2 linked regions of the Arabidopsis thaliana genome follow. The protein of the gene in region 1 interacts with the protein of each later gene in a pairwise test. Each region holds a gene or a part of one and is shown in the gene's direction. Other genes may lie near its edges.

The links. The genes of interacting proteins can lie anywhere in the genome.
Region 2: the proteins of AT5G40880 (region 1) and APL interact in a two-hybrid assay, tested with the Arabidopsis thaliana proteins (one large-scale study listed by BioGRID).

What each region holds. Positions count from the first base shown.
Region 1 is NC_003076.8:16,375,680-16,384,348, forward strand, and holds AT5G40880 (WD-40 repeat family protein / zfwd3 protein (ZFWD3)), read left to right. Parts: upstream 1-3,213; 5' UTR 3,214-3,801; coding exon 3,802-4,551; intron 4,552-4,657; coding exon 4,658-4,759; intron 4,760-4,868; coding exon 4,869-5,021; intron 5,022-5,112; coding exon 5,113-5,526; 3' UTR 5,527-5,673; downstream 5,674-8,669. Other genes in the region: UK/UPRT1 (uridine kinase/uracil phosphoribosyltransferase 1), read left to right, coding at 1-50, 161-279, 430-526, 720-799, 1,112-1,306, 1,391-1,474, 1,559-1,619, 1,762-1,822 and 4 more; CLC-A (chloride channel A), read right to left, coding at 5,966-6,070, 6,144-7,275, 7,350-7,882, 7,981-8,158, 8,251-8,451.
Region 2 is NC_003070.9:29,874,598-29,882,547, reverse strand, and holds APL (Homeodomain-like superfamily protein), read left to right. Parts: upstream 1-3,268; 5' UTR 3,269-3,412; coding exon 3,413-3,587; exon of another isoform or gene 3,588-3,677; coding exon 3,678-3,754; intron 3,755-3,890; coding exon 3,891-3,957; intron 3,958-4,086; coding exon 4,087-4,153; intron 4,154-4,239; coding exon 4,240-4,282; intron 4,283-4,379; coding exon 4,380-5,027; 3' UTR 5,028-5,320; downstream 5,321-7,950. Other genes in the region: ALDH5F1 (aldehyde dehydrogenase 5F1), read left to right, coding at 1-23. UniProt on the Arabidopsis thaliana protein: Transcription factor required for phloem identity. Has a dual role both in promoting phloem differentiation and in repressing xylem differentiation during vascular development. Regulates the expression of the transcription factor NAC045 (AC A4VCM0).

The sequences.
Region 1 (8,669 bases):
GACATCTGAGGAGTTGCAGCGTGTGCAAGAGTATAACTTTGATCATCCTGGTAAACTAACTTAATCGTTTTTCTTGAATTTTCTTCTCACTGCTTGCTTGTATTTTGGTTTTAAGTACACTGCGGTTCAGCTGACAGCAGCATTTGGTATTCTTTTGCAGATGCGTTTGACACTGAGCAGCTTTTGCATTGTGCTGAGACTCTCAAGAGCGGGCAACCCTATCAAGTTCCAATCTATGACTTTAAGACTCATCAACGTAGATCTGATACTTTCCGCCAGGTGCTTACTCTTATGTCCAAGACCATTATTGTGGTTCTTGTGCTCATGTGATTTGAATCTCTTATTTATGTGTTCCTATTTTAACTTAATGGGCATATTAGCATATATTCATTCCCTTTAAACTTAATATCTGTTGGGAGCCTCTGTCAGGTCAATGCTTCTGATGTAATAATATTGGAAGGGATTCTAGTTTTCCATGACTCACGAGTTCGGAATCTGATGAATATGAAGATCTTTGTTGATACAGGTATCAACCGCTATGCCTTTTTGTTTCCCCAAAACATGCATATGTCTTGCGCTACTCATCCTTTTTCACTCTTTGGATAACCTTATTAGTTTTGTATACCTGGAAATGATATTTTGTAATCAAAGTTGTCTATCTCCTTGGAATCTTTTTCACTTCTCTCTAGTCCTCAACATAAGCTATTAAATGGTTTCAGATGCTGATGTAAGGCTTGCTCGCAGAATTAGGCGTGACACAGTTGAGAGGGGTAGGGATGTCAATTCTGTGCTTGAACAGGTCAGTCCTCTTTTCGATTTATGCTGTAGGATTTGTAAGCATAGGTTCATCTAACCTAGTTAGGTAGCTTTATTTTGTGTGTGTATATGAGACATGAGTAAATACATGGAAATTCTGCTCTAGGGAACATCTCATTGTGTCTCTTCTCTGGTTTCTTCTTCCTTTTCTGCTTCCTACTGTTGTTTTTTTACTAGATAACTCTATATGTTCTTATTCCATCCTTTGAGATGCTCCTCTGTAAAACATCTCTTTTATCTTCTGAGCTTCCCATGTGCCTAATTTGTTTTCTGAGGATGTTATGTTCGTTTACAGTATGCAAAGTTTGTGAAGCCGGCATTTGATGACTTCGTGCTCCCTTCAAAGAAATATGCTGACGTGATCATTCCTCGAGGAGGTGATAATCACGTTGCAGTCGATTTGATTACGCAACATATCCACACAAAACTTGGGCAGCATGATCTCTGCAAAATCTACCCAAATGTTTATGTTATCCAGTCAACATTTCAGGTATTTTCTCACTCTTGCTCTCTTTGATACTTGATTTAGATGGTAAGTGTTATCGATGGTCTCACTATAGGATCATGATTGCAGATAAGAGGCATGCATACACTTATTCGGGAAAAGGACATATCAAAGCATGACTTTGTGTTTTATTCAGATAGACTCATTCGTCTGGTATATCTCTCCCTTATGTCTTCTCTTTCAACGTCACTCACTTTTCAGGCTTTCTTATTTTAACTAATATCAGTTCAATTTCAGGTCGTGGAGCATGGTCTTGGTCATTTGCCATTCACTGAGAAACAAGTAGTTACTCCAACAGGTATGAGAAGAGAATGCATGAGCTGTAACAATACTGTATACACTTTTTTATATAACTTGGTCATCAGATGTCCGTCTCCTTCACGTCAATCTAGTTAGAGTTAGCTTATTCAACTCATTTAAACTTATCTTTTCCACACCAGGAGCTGTATATACCGGTGTTGATTTCTGCAAGAAACTTTGTGGGGTCTCAATTATTAGAAGGTGAGCCTTTGAAAGGTATTGTATTTGGTTAAGTTTGATATGATAAGATGCTTATTCTTCCAACTGTTTTACATCATGCAAGGCATAAATTTACTTGTTTGCGATTAAATTATCTCTCCTACGTGGTTTCTGTTTTGTATGTTTTTCCTAGTGGTGAAAGCATGGAAAATGCATTACGCGCTTGCTGCAAAGGAATTAAAATAGGGAAGATTCTCATCCACCGTGATGGCGATAATGGAAAACAGGTCTTCCTATTAATATTTTGCTCTGTTTTTAAAAGTATCAAGTATAATCTCTTTTTATAAACACGAATTTTGAAGTTTCTCTTGTCGTGATAATCAGCTTATTTATGAGAAGCTTCCTCACGACATATCTGAACGCCATGTCCTGCTTCTAGATCCTGTCTTAGCCACAGGTACTCTGTCTCTCTACGCTGTATATTTCGATTTTGGTCCTTTTTGATGGATTTTTGGTTCTCGAAATTCATATCTCGTGATATTGCTTCTTCTTGAAGGTAACTCGGCTAATCAAGCCATTGAACTACTCATACAGAAAGGTGTTCCTGAAGCTCACATTATATTCCTCAACCTTATATCGGTGAGTGTAAAAAGCTATATATCGATCTTTCGCTCTTTTGTGAATGTAGAAGCTAAAGATCTCATTATGTATCTGCTTCTCTATCTCTTTGCTTCTCTCTTTCCCTCGTCATGACCTTGCTTTCTGACAGGCGCCGGAGGGAATCCACTGTGTCTGCAAACGTTTTCCAGCATTGAAAATTGTGACGTCTGAAATAGACCAATGTCTGAACCAAGAATTCAGAGTTATACCGGGCTTAGGCGAGTTTGGCGATCGTTACTTCGGCACCGACGAGGAAGACCAGTAGCCACCACTCAACACTGTGACTGGTTTCAAAGGAAAAGCCTAAATTTATGACTAGAGCGACAGTAGAGGCACTTGCATGTCTTTGTAGTTTGTGCTAAAGAATCTTTATCTTATTGTTTATGAAGCTCCTCTTGCTTACTTGAATTATTTTTGAAAAACTACGTTAATTTTCTCATTAAAAAAATGATCGGGACAATGCTAGTTTTCTAAACCGGTGGAAAAAGACATAACCAATCCTTTTATACATGATTTTGACAATCGTACGAAAATTCCAGTTCTCTCTAATTTTAATTTCTTTATTTACATGTTGATTAATATATATTTACCATTTTTCTTAAGGATCTTAGGGTTTAGGGATTATGACCTAAACCTAATGATAGAATTTAACCTTAGTTGGACCCACGAATGATGGGCCTAAGTTAAGCCCAACTATAAATTAATGTAGCGTAACCGCCACACGCTCATCTATAAATACACCACTCCTATGCAAGACCTATAGTTTTATTTCAGTCGACTCTTGACCTTCAATTTCCTCCGTCTCTAAATTTCCTTTTCTTTTGGCTCTCTCTGCGATCGAGTTCGAAACCGTTCCCTAATCGAAGATCTAGATTCAACATACGTTTTATCTCTCAGGTTTGCTTCTTCTTCGACTACGTTTTCTCCGCGATTATGATGATGCCTTCTTCTTCCTGCTTTCACTTTGGGTTGCGTTTCTTCATCTCCTCGATTCGCGATCCTCCTATTCGCATCGATACCCAGAGATCTAGGGTTTCCACCGATATGGATATGGATAAATCTTAGGGTTTCACCGATAAGGATTATGGATTCGAGTTTCTCTTCTATGTACATTGTCGGAGCTACATCTTCTCTTCTTGTTGTTAGTGTTAGGGTTTTGAATAGGTTTTAGGTGATGAATTATAGGTTTAGAGTTCTGAATTAGAGATTTATTTGGTTTTTTCTGTGGACGTGGTGCTCTATGATACCTGGATTGAATTTGGGGTTACAGACAGAAGAATGTGTTGCTTTTGATTCTCTAGCGATTGGGGAATTCAGAAACTCCTTGCTTCTGGACTTGTTACCCTTGTGAAAATTTATGTATGGGTCATCAGTCATCATGGATGAAGCAAACAGTTATCGACTCTGTGGTTCAGTCTTCTAAAGTTGGTGTTTTCTCAATGTTTAGTATGGATTACAAGGCGCCAAGGAAATACTCACACGGAAGGAATTTTGGAGTTGCGAGACAGCAAGATTTTGCAGCAGATATAGTTACGAGAAGACCTTATGCCCCGTATGACAATGGTATGAAGAAAGGTCCTAATAAGTTGTCAAGGAATCTGGTTTGGACGTCAAAAGAGTACAAATCACCAGAGGGAAACAGGCCAAGGCAGAATGCAGCCAATGGGTCAGCGAAACCACAAGTTATAGGCACAGGACATCGTGTATCAAACCAGCCGAGGAAGAATGCTGTGTATGGGCCAAGGAGCTCTTCTCTTTCAGACACCAGAGGTTGTGGGCCGAGACTCAATGGCAGTCCCAAAAAGAGTGTGTGTAATTTTTGGAAAGATGGAAACTGCAAAAAGGGCGAGAAATGCCAGTTCTTACACTCTTGGTCTTGTTTTCCTGGACTGGCCATGGTAGCTGCTCTTGAAGGACACAAGAATGATATTAAGGGAATCGCCCTTCCTCAGGGTTCAGATAAACTCTTTTCAGTCAGTGGTGATGGTACATTGCTAATTTGGGACTGCAATTCTGGTCAGTGTGTTCGATCCATCAACCTCCAGGCAGAAGCAGGGTCTCTAATTAGTGAAGGACCATGGGTTTTCCTTGGCTTGCCAAACGCTGTAAAGGTTAGTTTAAGGCGTCTCTTAACACAAATATTCTTCTGTTATCTAAATTCTGTTCGTTAAACTCAGTTGATTCTGGTGTTAAAGTTTTTGTTTATCAATTTTGCAGGCTTTTAACGTTCAAAACAGTAAAGATGTGCATCTTGAAGGGGTGGTTGGTCAGGTGCATGCAATGACTGCTGCAAACGGAATGCTTTTTGCTGGAACAAGTGTAAGCATTTTTAACTTAACTCTCTATCTTCTCTATACATGTGTTAGGTTCTCTGCTTCTTTGTTGGATCTATACTAATAAGTTTCTTTTGTCTTTTTTGGAATTGCAGTCTGGTAGTATATTAGTCTGGAAAGCTACAGACTCGGAGTCTGATCCATTCAAATACTTGACATCTCTCGAGGGACATCATAGTGGTGAAGTCACTTGTTTTGTTGTTGGAGGTGAAGTGCTATACTCTGGTTCTGTCGATAAAACAATAAAGGTAAGATATGGCTGCTACTAAATACAAAATGATTTCATCTTTAATCTTATTTTGAATGCATTCTAATAACTTCTGTTTGCTGTGGTTCTAGGTGTGGGATCTCAACACCTTGCAATGTAGAATGACCCTGAAGCAACATATCGGCACTGTCACTTCACTCTTATGTTGGGACAAGTGTCTGATATCGTCTTCCTTGGATGGGACCATAAAACTTTGGGCTTGTTCTGAAAATGAAAGTTTGAAAGTTGTTCAAACTCGCAAACAAGAACTGAGTGTTCATACTCTCTGTGGAATGCACGATGCAGAGGCCAAACCGATCATGTTTTGCTCTTACCAAAATGGAGCAGTTGGCATTTTCGACCTACCATCTTTTGAAGAAAGAGGAAAGATGTTCTCTACGCAGACGATCTGCACACTTACAATTGGTCCTGGAGGATTGTTATTCAGTGGAGACAAGAGTGGGAACTTGCGTGTATGGAGCTTAGCTTCTGGCACCAAAGTTTAGTCGTTTTAACAATTTTCGACTATTGATTTTCATTTAATTTGTACATATACATTGGTGGTTGATTCTAAATCCTTGCATTAATGTAATAACTTTTAATGTTGCCAAGATAAAAGAAAGTAATATTTTCATATCCGTTCTCTCATAGAAAGATGTTTATTTAACACAATTCCTTAAAAGATTTGTGAACTCCATGGAAGCTTCAAAGTTTTGTTCTGTATTCAAATTTCTTATTCTTCTTCTTTTGAAACTGAAAACGTGGGGAAAAAAAAGGAGATTTACAAGTAGAAAACACAAATCTACCAAATGGTATAATTTGTTTTTGGTCTTGAAGGAAGAATGCAAGCAAAACTGGACAGAATATATATCAACTAAGAATGTGGAAAGACACACGAATCACACAAACCAAATAATAGTGAACGCTCTTTGCATTTTGGCTTATTCATCTAGCTTTTCCACTTTTGTGTTTATCCAAGTGAGGAAATGCTTGTAGAATGTTATAAGCCCTGAGATCTTGCCTTGTTAAGATCCCTATCACAGGTGACATCTGCAACAACACAAGACACACGTTTAGTAGTGTTCTTGAATCTTGAATCAAGAGAGTAAAAAAGCAAACTTACCCCTGAAGCTTGAATCTTGGGAACCACCAGTAAATGTCTGAGACCCACTGACCGGAACAGAACCAAAGCTTTAGCCACTGACATACTTTGCACCACTGTGTAAGGTGTAGTGTTGGTCAAAGGATGAAGATCAACATACAATTGCATCTCTGAGCTTGTGATTGCAACATCATCGAAGTTATCTTCTCTCTCAGCTAATTCAACCGGTGTGAACTTTTCCCTAACTTCCCACTCTTCTGTTCTCCTTTTCTCATTCAAGAACCATCTCTTTTTCAGAACTTTCACAAGGTGAGCTCTTAGGATCAGACCATGGAGCTCTGTGCCAGTGTTTTGATCTGCTCCATCCAAGACTGGGAATGCGTTATGCGTTGTGTTCCTTAGTACATCGACTATATTTGCCACTTTTTCTACTCCGTTAAGTGTTACAACCGGAGGCTTAGCGTCGTTAAGCTCACCTACAGTGAGATTCCTCATCCACGGCTCTGGATTTGCTTCCAAGAAAGGTAAGCCCTTAAGATGGAGAATGATCTCGTAGATACTTAGATTGAAGCTGTCACCTACTGTTTTAGCTATCAGAAGCACAAACATTGTAATGGGCAACAAAAGAAGGTTGTTGGTGAGTTCCAGAAATATAACACAGAGTGAAACAGTCATTCTCATTGAACCAGCCATGAGTGAAGCTGCACCAAGAACCGCGTAAAGCCCTTGATCTATGTTTGTGTAAGACCCCATTGCTGTGCCTAGCATCCTACCGTATGCAGAACCCATGAGGATAATCGGTAGGAAGAGACCCGACGGTGTCGCTATACCGAATGTTATAAGACCCAAAATGCAGTAGAGGCCAAAGAATATCCAGAGAGAAACCATGCCAAACTCATTAGGAGTGTTTGAAGAGAAAATGTTTCTGACTGCATCATCATTGGTTGTGAGAAGCAGAGTGGATAGATCGTTGTAATAACCATTTGGACAGTTGAATTGCTTGAAATTTCCTGATCTTCCGTTTGTTGGACATATCTCGTCTATAGAAGGATCACAAGGCTTGCATTCCGCTAAGAAAGGAAGACCGAACAAGCAAACTGATGTGAATAGAGATACCCCAAGACTTAGAAGCACCTTATGAATCTTTCCCTTCCTACACCAAAATTTACCAAACAATGTTAAGTAAAAAGAAATCTTTAAGACTCTTGAACGTTCATAAACACTTACTGGTTGATGAGATTGTAAAGCCGGAGAACTTTATGCAGAAGATGATTGTACAAGCTTCCAAGAATGCCACCAAAGACTCCAATCAATGTGACTGGGATTATATCTGCTGCGTGGTACCTAACCTCTACATGACTCACATCGAACATAATGAGTCCTCCTGAGCCGAAAAGTCCGCATTTCCCGGAGTTACAAATCTCAATGAACGCTCTTAATACAACCACCACAACGGCTGTACTGAAGAATGTTCTCCACAAGAGAGCGCTTCTCCACCACGTAGCGACTTCCTCAAGAGCGAAAAGTACTCCTCCTACTGGTGACCTGAAAGCAGCACATACTCCAGAGGCAGATCCACATGTAATAAGATCTCTTCGATCTCTATCGTTGTTGAAGTAACGAAGCCATCTCCATTTGATTCTGTGATTATCTGGACCACCTTGACCAAGCAAAGAAGCTATGCAACTTCCAATATGAACCAATGGCCCTTCTTTACCAAGATCAAGTCCAGCTGCAACCGCTCCAATACTTCCAACAATCTAATCGGAAAAAAACCGCAAAATCCATCAGTAAAACAAAAGATCTCACACTAACTTTGTGGGAAGCTTCAAACTTTGTGAAGGTTTAAGAAACAAACCTTAACCATCATGGTGGTAAAACCAAACATATTGGGAGTGTCAATGCCATTAAGGTAAGCTTTAATCTCAGGGATCCCCGGACCAGCCGCCGTAGGAGCAAAGTAAACAACAAGTACTGTCGCCACCAAAGTCAGACCCAAATTCGCCCCCGTAAAGACCATCAGACCTGTCCAAAACCTATTTCAAAAACATAAACTTGTCATACAAGGTATCTCAATTTCTTGATCTTGACTGTTTTGTTTTTCAAGATTTGGCTGATGAGTCAATACCTATCTTGAGCAATGTAGTAGCCGACGGCGAGAAGTTTGTAACCGGCGATGTTTTCGACAGCAAGGTTGATGAGAGTAGCGATAAGACCAGTGAAGAGACCAACAAGACAAGCTAATGTCCATTTTAAGAATATGTATTGAAACACTTGTGCTTTTGATCTGCTTCTCCAGTCATGCTTGAACAGATCATTCTCGTTTATTCTGCAGAAATCCAAAATCTCAAATCAAAAATCTATACAAGTATATGTCTCCATCACTGATTATTTTCCACCAAGTTTAAGAAAAAAAAATATATGAAGATTGTCTGAAAACAGAGTAAAGATAAATAAACGTTATAGAAAGAGATTTGAGACCAAGACTTATCATACAACTAATAAACAAAAGGTAACCTAATTATCTGGATCTTGTACAAGATTTGG
Region 2 (7,950 bases), on another chromosome or scaffold:
TGGGAGATATGAATAGACACTGATTTGGTTTGTTTGAAAAGCTTTAGAAATTGTAAGTTTTTCTCCTCCACTCGTATCCTTCTAATAAAAGCTTACTGTGGAACATAATAAGGATTCGGAGGATACTTCTTAAGAAATAAAGATTTGGTCTACGACCAATTGTTAGCATGATTTTTAAGTAATAATTTGGGGTTTCCATTTTATTTATCTTTGTTTACGTTATTTTTTTCTTTGTTTTACGTTAATTTTTGTAATTCGGACAATTTTTGCTTTGGATATACCCAAAAAAATAAAAAAATAAACGTTGTTGTTCTTTGCTTCATTTATCAGCAATTTTTAGAAATCGATTGGGTTTATTTTTCTTTTTTCATCAGTATCTTGTCATTACTATTTATAAACGCTTTATGTCTCATGTGACAATGTTTTGGAGGATTATGACTTATTAACAGTCGATCGATTTATCGAATTTAGTGTTATATATTAAAATATTAATTATTCAAAAAAATTGGATCAGTTATGTTTCAAAATAGCGTTAGATTACATGGCTCTATGCCAAAGTTGGGATTTTATTTTTGTTTGTAGTTTTTTTAAGTGGGGAAAAGATAAGAAGGTTAGAAGGAATATATTCATTTCGGAGAAGAAATCCCAAAGCACCATCACAAAAAGATGCTTGAAGTTCAAGCAACTGTGGCCTCTATTTTTTTATAAGCCGACTTACTTTATTGTCACTAATTTCATTTCTTTCTTTCTTTAAGCTCTTAGTTTGCTTCAACAACAATTAGCTAAAAGTTAAACATTAGCTTTACTTGGTTTAACTAAAAACAAAAACTTTGGTTTCTTTTTTTCAAAGCAAAATACAATTTAGCTTAAAATCATTATTGAAAACATTAATAAAGAAAGATGAGAACTTAAATGATTTTAGGGCGGATGATTTGCTAATGCTAATATGCATCATATCACTATGAATCAATTTTGTAGATAATAGTGATGATGATTGTGAAAACACAAATATCGTGATAATATAAGTAGGAATAATATATGTGTGTATCTATACTCAAAAAGTGGTAAGAAAAAATAAAAAGTCTAGTAAACTATGTAAATGTGGCTGGCCAAGTTTATACGGTTGGCATCTATCGCGGGAGTTGTATTTTCATTTTTTAATATTGTTGGCGCAATAAGAATCTATCTTTATTCATCAAAGAGGAGAAGAATCGATTCCAATTCTCATGCAATTTGAACTTTGATTTAATATTTAAATTCAAAAGTTATAACCATTTTCTTATTTTATCTTGGTCAGAATTGTGTGCGGTAATTGATTAATTTAATTTATTGTACAAATAATTCGTTTCACAGCCAAGATTTTTAACATTTCTGGCAAAGAAAAACACTGTTTTTTTATTTATTCCAAGAAATTAATATCTGAAAAATGTGTTACCATGTATAGCTGCACAATCGTCAGTCCTACAAAAGCCAAAAAAGGTTATAGCCCCAGCAAGCTTTAACCAATAAATTAAAATGGAGAAAAGAAGAAAAACATATGGTAAAAATAAAAAGAATAAAAGAGCTTTAATAAGTAGAAGAAGAGGTCCCCAACGTTAACTCTATCTTTACACATTGATGCATAATTCTCCACATATTAATAGTCCGTGTTTATAATATGTATAACTTTAAAAAATTGTTCCATATTCTTATGTTAATTTTTTTGTTTTAATTCAATATTCATTGACTGGTATTGGTCTACATTTTAACATGTACATGCTTTCCCTTAATTAATACTTAATATATAACCTCTAATAAATTTCTGATTCAATTCAAATTTTATTCTTAGATAATATTCTCTCTTTTTTGTGTGTGCATATCAGCCTCAGCCATATTCATTGACTTATTCTTGTTCTATGTAAATATGCTATGGGACCTCCCACTCATATATATTTAGGTTGACCATTTATTTTACATGCATGCAATTGAATTTAGGGGTTAATCTAAATCGTTGCGTATATGAATTATATATGATTTTAGTTTGTATATTGAAAAATGCATCGTCGTTCTATACATAAGCTAGTTTAGTAGCTAATAGGGCAATATTAACAAAGTTGATTTTCTGGTTTGTAGTGTCCATACAAGTAATTTAGTTAATTATCTCGTTTGTTCACCTTTTTGTTTCTTTTTTCTTTTGCTAGCTAGTTAATTGCGGATGTAAACTACATCTTTTACTAATCGATGAATGGAAAACGTTTTTGTCGTAGACAAATATTCCACCGTACCTAACGGTTTTGGATTGCATGTATATAATAAATTTGTTCCAAAAATATACGGTCTATTAATTTATAACGAAGCTCATCATTGCTTAGAATTGTATATTCACCTCATAATTAGCCAAAAAGGTTTACCCTACCATAAATGATAAAATCCCTAGCCTTGTGGAATTTGTTTCGTTAAGATATTTGTATGTATGCCTCCAATTACGATATATGACGATGTAGACAAACTATAAGTCTAGTATACGACTCTCCTCGTGCGGTCTTAATTGAATAGAATACATAGAACTTTAATATATTCACTTTAAAAGTTTATATTTTCCTATAAAGAAAATATTTACAAATCTTTGATTACTATTTACTCCAAATCAAGCATGATTAAGAAAATAGTATATAGAACAATTGTATGATAAATTTGGATTTAAAAATTACTTCTAAATTATAAGGTAGTAAAGAAAAAGAAACCAAAAATATAAGAATAATAGATGTGCAATATCTTTGATTCAGGTGAATTATATTTTAACTTAGATATCTCAAGTCATTTTAATGTTTATATCAGGAAATAAAGAAATAAAAACCATCATGCAACAAATCATGCATATATATTAGATACATCCGTAACCGCTTTTTTTCGTCTTTTTTTTTTGTTTTTTTCGTCGTCACATCCATAACCGTTTTGATATGAGATCTCCGATGTTCAAAATTCAATTTCCCCCAAAGATATCAATTTAATATCTAATATATACTATTATTTTAAGTTTGCGCAGTAATTTAATAATCTGAGACAGACATGATTTACTTAATGTATACGTATAGTGGCTTTTACACACATTTTATATTGAAAGAAATTCAAAGGTATTCAAGCTAAGAGGATAAAAAACACAAATGAAAAAGATAGCGACAGTATCTTTTCACAAAGGAACGTCTGTGTACTAGTCTGAAACTTTAGTTCTCTTCCTTACTAACGATAAAACATATTTAACTAAACCATAATTTATTTACAAACAAAACAAAAAAGACGAGAGAGAGAAAAAAAAGCCGTCATCTGATCTCTTCAAAAACGCATCGTATTCTCTCACATTTTTGCATCACATTCGTTTCTTGAATCCCCTCTTTCAGAGAGAGAAAGAGAGTCAGAGAGAGAGAGAGAGAGAATGTTCCATGCTAAGAAACCTTCAAGTATGAATGGTTCATATGAGAACAGAGCTATGTGCGTTCAAGGCGATTCAGGCCTTGTCCTCACCACCGACCCTAAACCGCGTTTGCGTTGGACCGTCGAACTCCACGAGCGTTTTGTGGACGCCGTCGCTCAGCTCGGCGGCCCCGACAGTATGAACACACATACACAAATATATATTCAATCCATTTAACCAATTATAAATGTGTTTTTTCAAAGTTTTTGATCATTTCTATTTGCAGAAGCGACCCCAAAGACGATTATGAGAGTTATGGGTGTGAAGGGTCTTACTCTTTACCACCTAAAGAGCCATCTTCAGGTATGTACACAAATATAGATTAGGGTTTTTTTCTTCCTTGCTTTTAATTTTCTCTCCTCTTTATCTTTTCTATTCTTTTTTTCACTTAATAATATAATATAATAATCTAACAACTTATTTGGATCTATGGGTGCAGAAATTCAGGCTTGGAAAGCAGCCGCACAAGGAGTACGGAGATCACTCCACAAAGGAAGGTTCAAGAGGTGACCACTCTTCCTTTCTCTATCAAATTAGGGTTTTTATAAAAAAGTTACCCATAATATAGATATGTATTAATGTATATATATGTTCTTTGATCCGTCTTCTTCTAATTTTTTTTACCGTACGTGTAGCTTCTGCCATGGATATTCAGCGCAACGTAGCTTCTTCTTCTGGCATGATGAGTCGCAACATGAATGAGTAATATTTTAATCAGATTTCGTTAATTTTCTCAACTTTCATTTTAATATATATTACAGCAACTCACACCAGGTTGGTTTGATCAGGATGCAAATGGAAGTGCAGAGAAGGTTGCATGAACAGCTAGAGGTAATTAATTAACCTATAGATATTCTATGATAACTGCTTGTACAAAATCAATTTGTATCCCATAAATATAGTAAATGATTTCATTCAATTTTTATAGGTGCAAAGACATCTGCAACTGAGGATTGAAGCACAAGGAAAGTACATGCAATCTATCTTGGAGAGAGCTTGCCAAACCCTAGCCGGTGAGAACATGGCAGCCGCCACCGCAGCAGCCGCCGTCGGAGGAGGATACAAGGGTAATCTGGGAAGTTCGAGTCTTTCAGCAGCGGTGGGCCCACCTCCTCATCCTCTTAGTTTCCCGCCGTTTCAAGACCTAAACATCTATGGAAACACAACCGACCAAGTCCTCGACCATCACAACTTCCATCATCAAAACATAGAGAACCATTTCACGGGTAACAATGCTGCAGACACCAACATTTACTTGGGGAAGAAGCGACCTAATCCTAATTTTGGTAACGATGTAAGGAAAGGACTATTGATGTGGTCTGATCAAGATCACGATCTTTCCGCAAACCAATCGATCGATGATGAGCATAGAATTCAGATACAGATGGCTACACATGTCTCCACGGATTTGGATTCTTTGTCGGAGATCTACGAAAGGAAATCAGGTTTATCAGGTGATGAAGGGAATAATGGTGGGAAATTACTGGAAAGGCCATCGCCTAGGAGATCACCATTGAGTCCTATGATGAACCCTAATGGTGGATTAATACAAGGAAGAAACTCGCCATTTGGGTGATACAATTTATTAATTTTTATCTATGAGTGATGCATGGGAATGTAAGAACGAGATATATATGTTTTGTCATTGTGAGTTTGACGTAGGGTTTAGAGATGAGACAAAACAAAACAAAACAAAAAAAAATAAAAAATATATAAGCTTTGTTATGTTTACCGGATTAGTTTTGCTCGTGTTTTATAATCTGTACGGAAACTATATATTATTGCTGTTCTTATAATATTTTAGGATCTATATATTTTGTACTTATTCGTTACTTATTTCTTCTAGTCAACTGTTTGATGATTGATCTTTACATTGTTAGTCTCAGTAGAATTGCCGAATATATGTTTTGTTATTCTTTTATCACCCACATAAAATCTGTAGTTGCCTTTTATGGTTAACTAGCTATTTTCATATTCTATGTTTGATAGCTTTTTTTAATGGCAATTTCAAATAAATTAAGTTTAATTTCTTACATCCGCAATTTTATTTCATATGTACATACTTGTACGATTTTCATATTTGACAGTTTGCCAATTAGAGGCATATAAAATGTGAATGTACTAAAGTATATCTAGTACATGTATATGATAAATCAGTACATATGTATATTACCTTAACCAGTATATATATCCCATGCATGAACGTAACTGTATATATGACAAATAATAAACATTTATGTGTTAAGAGCTAGGTTGCTCATGTTTCAAGGCATGTACGATATTTTAAAGCTTTTGAAGGGCCCTTTGCTTTTTCATGAGTTAGTTATTTCTATCTCAAGTTAGTTTGTACTTGATGCCTTATATATGATTACGCTAAAATGGGATATCTGCATCGGGAAACTAAATTTTCAATCAAACTTAAAAATAAAGTTTATGGTAAAAAAAAATCATAAGTAAATACGAAAAAGAAAGGACAGCGCAAGTGATAATGATGATGATGATCCCCATCAAAGCAAAAGGTTTTTAGGGTTTTGGGAAAACCACATGCAAACACCAAGAAAAGCTGTAAACTTTGATTCAAATGTATATATAGTCACTTGATTTTGTAGGATACTACTATGTATATGTGTATGCAGTTGTACGCATATGTAAGTAAGTGTGTATGTAGAGATTGATAGCTACAAGATCCTTTTCAAAAGAAATAAAAGAACTTGTCATAAGAGAAATTAACCGACACTGAGTATCTATCTTTCCTTCCGTATATATCTTTGTTCTTTATTCTTTTATTTCTTTTCTGCTTCATATGACCACTAATTAGGACATATATTTATACAAAAGAAAATTATTACACTGATCATTCTTAATTGAATTTCAGGAGCTTAGTTATAGATCTTACAAACATCGGGAAAAAATGTTTGTAATTCAGAATTTTTGCTCTGCTATGATTTTTACTTACTCGATGCATCCATTTAGTCACAACTACAAATTACGGCTCATATATGTATATGTTTATATAAATTATTACTGATCAACTTTGTTGGGTTCAGAGAGAGAAAATATAAAGATCTGGTCATCACTGCAAGTTGGCAAGTAAAAGAGAAAGCTCTCTCAGTCTCTCTCACTCTCTCTAAAAGCTGAGGAAAACAAAAGGCAAAAAGAGAATTGAAGAAGAAGAAGGAGAAGCATAGAGATATTAACGCACTCCCATGTATGCACTTCTCGAGGAAGCTTCTCTTCTCCTTTTACATACGCCCCCACTAATTCCCTCTAATTACGTTCCTCGGTTTTTTTCCTTCTATTTAATTAATTGGATTTGAAGACAAAAAAGAGTAGACGACCATGTAATAATAATTAAAAACAAAAAAAAATAAATCAGATAAATTTCTTTTATTTATTTATTATTATAAAAATACTATATAAATTATAACTAAAAATAATTATTATTTGGGGATACATTTGAAATATCATATACTTTATCAATAAATTAGTTATGGTACAATAATCAATTTAATTGTGAAGATGCATTATATACAAAGTGGATCCGACGAAATGACGATGATGCATGTTTTGTGAATATTCATTTCACAATAAAATCACACCAACCACAAGTTAATTATTATAACTATTCGGTGCTTTTTAATATATATCCATCTGAACATCTCATTCTGTTACTTTTTTTTTTCGCATTCACATGCATAAACGTGCATGTGATCGTAGCTTTACTTGTATATCATAATTTTAAATAGGCTAATAGTAAAGCTAATGTTTGTACACATATCATATGGTAATTATTATGGTTGTTAAGCAAACTAAAGTACTTATAATAAACAAATAAAGTAATAAAGGTAACGGTCTTGGATGGTCTATGCACATTCTTCCATACAAATCCTCTGTAGGCACCTCATTACGATCTCGACCTTGGATTCCATTTTCTACTCCCTTACTTCTTCTGTTTTCCAAAAAAAAAAAAAAAAGAAGAAGAAGAAGATAATATACTTCTTTTTGATATTCTATATTTTTCAAAATGATACTTTATTTTTGGTATGTGTTGATGTAGAATGCTCTCTTAACAAAGTACATTCCCGAAGCATCTATTTTTCTTGTCCCTTCTTTCTCTACTGTCGTCATTTTTCCATTACTTCTAAGTTCTAACCTATTTTGAGTATTTTCCAAAAAATTCAAATAACTATTCATATATTTTTATTACGGAAAGAAAAATAAATCATTAGATTTGTTACATTAAAAAAAAAAAAAAAGAATAGAGAAGAAAAGCCCATTTGCATCAGTTTCTTGTTTACGCTGAAGAATCAGACTGGGCTTCCATATAATGCCCACTAAGATAAGTCCAATAAGAATGTTATATATCCTCCCTAGTACGAAAAAGGAAAATCCCTAGTTGAGAATCATCAATCCGATTGGCGGTAATGACGATTCTGGTTTCGTGTTGTGACCATTTCCGATCTTGAGAATTAATCGTAGACTTTTAGTAACCAAGTTAA